Coturnix japonica: one gene and its partner. The protein of the gene in region 1 binds, or shares a complex with, the protein of each later gene. Links are inferred from orthologs where the notes say so. Each region holds a gene or a part of one and is shown in the gene's direction. Other genes may lie near its edges.

Region 1 (3,539 bases):
TTCCATTTAATGCCGCTGCTTTATAAGGAGAGAAATAATGAATGTTAGTGTATGAATGCTGTGATGAAAGCTAGTCACAGGTCTGCACAAATGCTGTAATTTGGTCTTAATTCATTTTGTAGACCACAGAACTCACTGTGAATCAGTTGCAAAAGTCATGCTGCAGTCTGTGGAAGAGGTGACAGTTAAACACATTGTATTCTTGAGTGTATGTTGTTATTATGAGTATCTTTGCATTGTCTGTATCACACAGCCATCCTGTCCTTGTGCATTAAGCTTGATGTTGGTGGACTTCTAATGCTTCCTGGGCTCCCCCAGTACAAAAAAGACAGGGATCTCTTGGAAAGAGTCCAGTGGAGGGCCACAAAGATGGTGAAGGGCCTGGAGCATCTCCCCTATGAAGAGAGACTTAGGGAACTGGGTCTGCTTAGCCTTGAGAAAAGAAGGCTGAGAGGGGACTTGATCCAGGTTTATAAATACGTGAGGTGTGGGGTCCATAGTGGTGAGGCTGGACTCTTTTCAGTAGTGTGTGGGGACAGGACTAGGGGTAATGGAATGAAACTGGAGCATAGGAAGTTCTGCACGAATGTGCAGAACTTCTTTACAGTGAGGGTGACGGAGCACTGGAACAGGCTGCCCAGGGAGGTGGTGGAGTCTCCTTCTCTGATATTCAAGACCCGCCTGGACGCCTACCTGTGTGACGTGGTGTAGGGAGCCTGCTTTGGCAGGGGGGTTGGACTCAATGATCTCTAGAGGTCCCTTCCAACCCCTACAATTCTGTGATTCCTAGATAAGTACAAAACTTTCTGCTCACTATTTCCCTTTTTAACAGTTTTCTTAACCTTTGCAGGTCTAGGAAACAAGGAGGATCTGTTTCCTTAACAATGGCAACAAAATCGTCACTCCTTAAAGTAATACTGCTAGGAGATGGTGGAGTTGGGAAGAGTTCCCTTATGAATAGATATGTCACCAACAAGTTTGATGCACAGCTTTTTCATACAATAGGTGTGGAATTCTTAAACAAAGAACTGGAAGTGGACGGACACTTTGTCACTCTGCAGATCTGGGACACAGCAGGTCAGGAACGTTTTAGGAGCCTGAGGACTCCTTTCTACAGAGGTTCTGACTGTTGCCTGCTTACCTTCAGTGTGGATGACTCTCAAAGCTTCCAAAACCTAAGCAACTGGAAGAAAGAATTCATTTATTACGCAGACGTCAAGGAGCCTGAAAACTTTCCATTTGTGATACTGGGTAACAAAGTCGATATAAATGAGAGGCAAGTGTCTACAGAGGAAGCCCAAGACTGGTGCAGGAATAATGGTAATCACCCCTATTTTGAAACCAGTGCAAAAGACGCCATTAACGTTGCAGCAGCCTTTGAAGAAGCTGTTAGAAGAGTTCTAGCCTCTGAAGATAGATCGGATCATTTTATTCAAACAGATACAGTAAACCTCCATCGGAAACCGAAGCCTAGTTCATCTTGTTGTTGACTTAACTTTCTTTTTCTTTCTTGCCAAATTACTTCCAACTAGCTTACTCTGAAGAGGATGGGAAAGATGTAGATAAAATAACAAATGGGTTTTACTCTACTACTGAAGTTGTAATATTCTGCTGCTTTCCTGGGGGAGCAAAACAGATTTTCATTCATGAGTGACCCGTTATTGAATTAGTGACGCTTCCTATCTAGGAAGGTGTAAAGTAAAAATGTTAACCTAAGAATGTAGTTTGCCAACTCTAAATGATAAATACTTTGAATATAATTAAAACTTGAAGTTCTAGAAGCACTACTTTGGTGAAACTGTTCTGGAATTGAGATACAAAGAAGCTTTTATATGTATATATATTTTTATGAAATTAGCATTCCATTTTGTTTCACTAGAACTCAGTTTCTTAACCATGAGAGATATTAAACTTTAATTTCACCGCATTCCTTTTGATGTGAGTGGTACTTCATCTCTAATGCATTTACTACAAGTTAACATAAATTCCTTCAAGTTTCCTGTAGTTATAATTTGTGTATGTTTTTAAGTAGGAAATGAGTTTCCTACGTATTTAATGTCCATCTTCCTTTCGTTTACTATTCTAATGCCACATGAATTTTTCCAGCAGTTCAGTGCAAAATGTGATTTATTTTTTTTTAATACATCTCCTCCTTATGTCCCATTCTGGCACGTTTCTGATTAATAGAGTAAAGAAAAAATCTGGATAAACCAAGTATTTTTCATAACTAAGAATGGTTATATGTACTTTATTCCATCAGCTTTAGTAACTCTTGGAAATTTGCCATAATGTGGATCTCTTCAAGAAAGCTTTTAGGATACAGCCTTAAAGTTCTGACCTTATTGTTCCTGTTCACCTGAGCTATGAATGTGTTTGTGATCTCTGTACTGTGAAACTAAGGATTTGCAATACATAGGGAACTCAGGAAGCTCTTGACTTAGCAGGTAGCGACAGCTTTCCACTCTAGTACGAATAGATACCTATAACGTTTGAGCCAAATTTGATGCTTATTTAATACGCCGTCGTAGGGTAGAGACTTAAACCTTGGTATTACTGTACTCATTAACTGACAGCGAACAGAAACAAGTTCCATGTTTAATGGATAATCTTTCTGTAGTGTTGCAGATGAAGCCCCAGGATGTGTATTTGAAGCTCTCCACTGCTGTCCCATGGTAGAATACTTGTATGAGAAGCTCTTGAAAGCTGACTCTCAGAGTACTCAATATCCTTTCAATAGCAAACTTGATAATGCACTATTGCTTCAATGTGTAACCTGACTACAAGCATGCCTGTTAGTGTACACATTGTAGACCTCAGAAGGAAATCAAAGGCCTACAGGACGGGCCGTGTTTTTCACTAAATTATGCAGACTCTGCTTTCTGTACTGCAACCTTTTTGTTGTAATAGAGCTTTTCTTGATAGTACAGTAACAGCAAGAGTCTTCTCTTAACGTGTTTGCTTTGTACCAGATGTTATTTAGAAGTAAAGCTTGCAAAACAAACTTCTTGTTGCTCTTATGTGCTTTTCTTCATGTTTTTTTTTTTATGCTTGTTTGAACCTGTTCGTGTTTACTCCACAGATCTGCTGTTCCTGCTGCAAGGTGATATTTTTACAGGTTCTGCATTCAAAGCCTACTTTGTTCTTAGTGTCCTGTACGTACAGCAACAGTTATGAGTTTCAGTCACTAAGCAGCTAAATACAAGCTGACCTGCTTCTGTGTGATATTTAGATTAATAGTGAGCGAAGGTAAGATGTGAGGAAAGAAAGAAGGTAGGTTAGATTGAACCTTAGTTTCCTTGAACATTAACTTTTGCAGAAGTGAGATTGAAACAAAATAGTAGATAAGTTACCACTTGAGTACTACAAATAAGACTTTCATAATAAAATCTCTAAAAGGAAATAAGGATGAGGACCAGGTGTAGTAGCTTTTCTTGTGCTTAACAGCCTATTTCTGTCTTCTCCTGTTTTTCCTACCATTTCTATGTAGTGCTATGATTATCCAGCCTCCTTATGAGAATTGGGTTTGGGAAATCAAACAC
Region 2 (3,573 bases), on another chromosome or scaffold:
TGGACTCTGAGCTCTTTGAGCTGATGCACCAGAATGGTGATTACACCCATTTCTACTTCTGCTACCGATGGTTTCTCCTGGACTTCAAGAGAGGTTTGTGCAGGGAGAGGGACAGCTGGGACCAGTGAAGGGGGGGTTGAGAGCAGGGTTTGCCATGTGTTACTGTTTGGCTTCTCCCTACTAAGAATTATGGCTGACTTTTCTGTCTAGATCAGAACCTGTTGCTCCAGAGCTGCTGGCGAGCCTCCAGCAGGTTTATGTCCTGCAGTCTGTACCACCTGCTGCAGGCCAGAATGTGTGTCTGTGCAGATGACTGACTTGTTCTTTGGAACAGGTTGTTGGGGGAAGAAACCACATTCTGCCCCAGTGAATGCTGCTGTGAGTCAGGCTGATGGAAGCCTGATGTGTGACTGCTGGGCTTTCCTTCTCCTAACAGAGCTGGTGTATGACGATGTTTTTGCTGTTTGGGAGACCATCTGGGCAGCTGCACGCGTTTCCTCTGCACACTATGTGCTCTTCATTGCCCTGGCTTTGGTGGAAATGTACCGGGATATCATTTTGGAGAACAACATGGATTTTACAGACATCATCAAGTTTTTCAATGGTACGGTTTGGGTTCTGTTGGGCTCAATTTGTGGCAGCTGCTCAGAGGTAGGCAGCACTTCTGGATGGCTGTAGACAGTCGTGTCCTGACTGCTCTGGTAAATACTGAAAAAGAGCAGAGGGTATGTTGTGTGATGCTGATATTTGGAATGTGATGGTAAAGGGGTCCCTTGCTTCTGAGGGGTTCAGAAGATGCCTGGGGAGCAATCCTTGGCCACAGCCTGCCTTGTCTGTGCTTGATGGCAGCTGTGAGCAATAGGTTGTGCTTCCTGCAAGGTGAGCTCCTTAACGATGACCCTTCAGAGTCAGGAGTCCACAAGGGGTGGTGCCTGGGGACTTGGCTGTGAATTCACTTCAGCTGCTCCCAGAGCTTGGCTGAGGGGCAGAAGAGGACCTGGAGGAGCTCCTTAAATCTCTGGGCATCTCGGGTGTAGCCTCTATGTGAGTTCCTTTTGTCTGTGTTCCAGAAATGGCTGAGCGGCACAACACCAAGCAGATCTTGAAGCTGGCTCGAGACCTTGTGTACAAAGTGCAGACTCTGATCGAAAACAAGTGAAAGACCTGGGGAAGACGAGGCATCCGGACAGAGAGCTGGGACTCCCCTCCAATGCTTCCTCTCCCTTTTTCTCACCATTCCACACCTGTGGAAGTGAGGTAGTTGGACACACGCTGCAGTCTGAACTGGCACTACCCATAGCTCTGCAAGTGCTGTGCTCAGTGTTAGGTCCGGGGGCTCCGGCTCAGATCTGCACAGCATTCTCTAATGACTTAACCAAAGATCTGTACAATTGTGTTGCATTGCTAAAGACTTGCTTTGGAGGTAGGGCAGCCGCTTCCTAACCCTGCTGCAATGAAGGAGCAGCACATGGTTATCACCCCAACTGCAGAAGCAGTTGCCAGCATCCCAGGTCAATGTTGGGGGGGGTCTGGGAGAGCAGGGCTGCCAAACCCAACCAGGGATGCTGCCAGCCCTCAGTTTCTTACTGACATCTGAGGTTCTGCCAGTAGCAGAGAGGGACTTGGATCACAGAGATTCCTCATCTTTTGATCTCGTCCCTTGACGCATAGCATCCCCTTTAGTATTTTTAGGGCTCCGTTCTCTCCCTTGGATTTTTACATTGTTTGTTACTACGGTATCCGAGCACACAAGAGTTTTGTCTGCAGATGGAGTTTTGGAAGAGCTCCAAATTCAGCATTGGGTTTCTCTTTCAAAATTCAGCCTCTGTAAATGCCTCTGAACACCAAGACCTGCTCCTGGCCTTGTCTGGCAGCTCCAGACACCAGGTTTTCTTCGTACCTGCCTTATTCTAGCTGCTTGTGTTAGGGGTCTGCTCTCCTGCTCGTCCTTCTGCAACCCAATTTAAGGGAGGGCTCCTTGGAAGGCAAGTGGGAGCTCCTGACCTAGTGGCTGTCCTGATGTTCCCCTCTGAAGGTGCCTGTCTGTTCCTCTATTAGCTGAAAGAGTGGCTGCTTGCAGCTGAACAGTGCAAACGATCCCTCTGGTGCCTGCAGGTTTCTGTGTGCTTATGGGGCTGCTCAGAAAGCCCCCTGAGTCCATTGAAGGTCTCCAGTTAGGTTGTGGTGGGCTGCTTTTCACCCAGCATCTCCGAGTGGTCTTTGCTTTTAGCAGATGCATTGCAGTGGCTCTCCAGCATCTCATGCGTGAAGTGCCTCTGCAGCACTGCCAGCGTGGGGCTGAGTGTGCGGTGCAATGGTTGTGGTGTGGGTTTGGATTCATTTCTCAACTCAGGTTTAAAAAAAATAAAGAGGAAAAGGAGGGGTGTTGGTGATGGGCAGGTCTGGCTCAGCCAGGGGGAGCTTTGCCATGGCCACAGAGGGCTGTAGGAATGCAGGGAGGTGCTGGGTTGGAGCTCTCTGTAAGGGAGTTTCTCTCGAGTTTTGCTGCAGAAATATGTGTTCCCCTCCATGTGATGTGTGTGCGTTCTGCCCTCCGCCCCTCTGTGCAATGGGGCCCTTCTGCTGCTGCTTCCCTTCTTCTTTGGAATGCCTGTCCGTGCCGACTGTGCTCCGTAATGACTTATGGCATGTGGTAGATGTTGCTTGCAGAAGGACAGGCAGGCAATCTCTCACTTTTGCATAGAGCAGAGCGAGATGCTTGTACCCCCTCCCAGATTGTTCCACTTCTCTCTGGGTCTTGGGATAGATCAGCATCTACCTGCATGGCCACTTCCAAAGGGGAAGGGGGCTGCTCTACCCCATCCCTTCCAAAGGACGGGAGCCAGTATGTAACTAAACACAGTCCTGACAAGCAGCATCGCTGACACTTTATCCTTCATGCTTCTGATTTTCCTCTATTCTTGGTTTTCAAACAGAAAACAGCCAAGAAATTCCGCACAATGTTTGCTGTCTGTGTGAACGGGGTGTCTTTGATAGCAATGTGTGGGGTTGGTTTTGGTTTTCTTTTTTTTTTTTAAGTCACTTTTTTGGGGAAGAAAAGTATTTATTGATTGCACATTCCCGTGTGTCTGTGTGCACTGAAGTGCGTGAGTGTGTGTGTTGTGATGCAAATGGAGATGTATCTTTGCAATGTTGCCAACATATCTTGTAAATGTTTACCAGAGAATAGTGTCTATATATAATATAATATAATATATATATATATGGTATAGAGAGAAAATATATGAACTAAGTGGGTTATTTTTTGAGAAGGGAGAAGTGTTGATTCTAAGAGCTGCGTGGTCTCCTTGCAGCTGTCCCATGCTGCACCCCCATCCCTGTGCTGTTTGCAGAGGCGCTGTGTCCTCTTGGCTTGAGTTTAGCTCTGATTTTCAAACTGTGGGTAAGAAGGAAAAAGGGAGTGTGGGGGGGAAGCTCTGGTTCAGCCCATGTGGGTAGAGCTGTGCAGGGCCATGCCTGCCATGGGTTAATGTGAGTGTACAATGCAGACCTGAGCTCTGTTTGAGTTGCAGAGCAGCTGGATAGTGCAAAGAATACAACCAGCCAGGTTCT

What was found.
Region 2: the proteins of RAB9A (region 1) and SGSM1 are in contact, whole or in part, in a crystal structure (PDB 4QXA), measured with the Mus musculus proteins. The link is inferred for Coturnix japonica from reciprocal best matches to the Homo sapiens genes RAB9A and SGSM1. Residues at the interface, in NP_062747.1 of Mus musculus: Phe37, Thr39, Ile40, Gly41, Val42, Glu43, Phe44, Leu45, Trp61, Arg68, Phe69, Leu72, Phe76; in NP_766306.2 of Mus musculus: Leu256, Leu257, Tyr258, Gly259, Lys260, Asn261, Asn262, Tyr277, Asn294, Met297, Asn298, Gln361.

Annotation. Positions count from the first base shown.
Region 1 is NC_029516.1:110,820,527-110,824,065, reverse strand, and holds the end of RAB9A (ras-related protein Rab-9A), read left to right. Parts: intron 1-850; 5' UTR 851-884; coding exon 885-1,490; 3' UTR 1,491-3,001; downstream 3,002-3,539. UniProt on the Homo sapiens protein: The small GTPases Rab are key regulators of intracellular membrane trafficking, from the formation of transport vesicles to their fusion with membranes.
Region 2 is NC_029530.1:6,046,508-6,050,080, forward strand, and holds part of SGSM1 (small G protein signaling modulator 1), read left to right. Parts: coding exon 1-93; intron 94-436; coding exon 437-604; intron 605-1,070; coding exon 1,071-1,159; 3' UTR 1,160-3,573. UniProt on the Homo sapiens protein: Interacts with numerous Rab family members, functioning as Rab effector for some, and as GTPase activator for others. Promotes GTP hydrolysis by RAB34 and RAB36.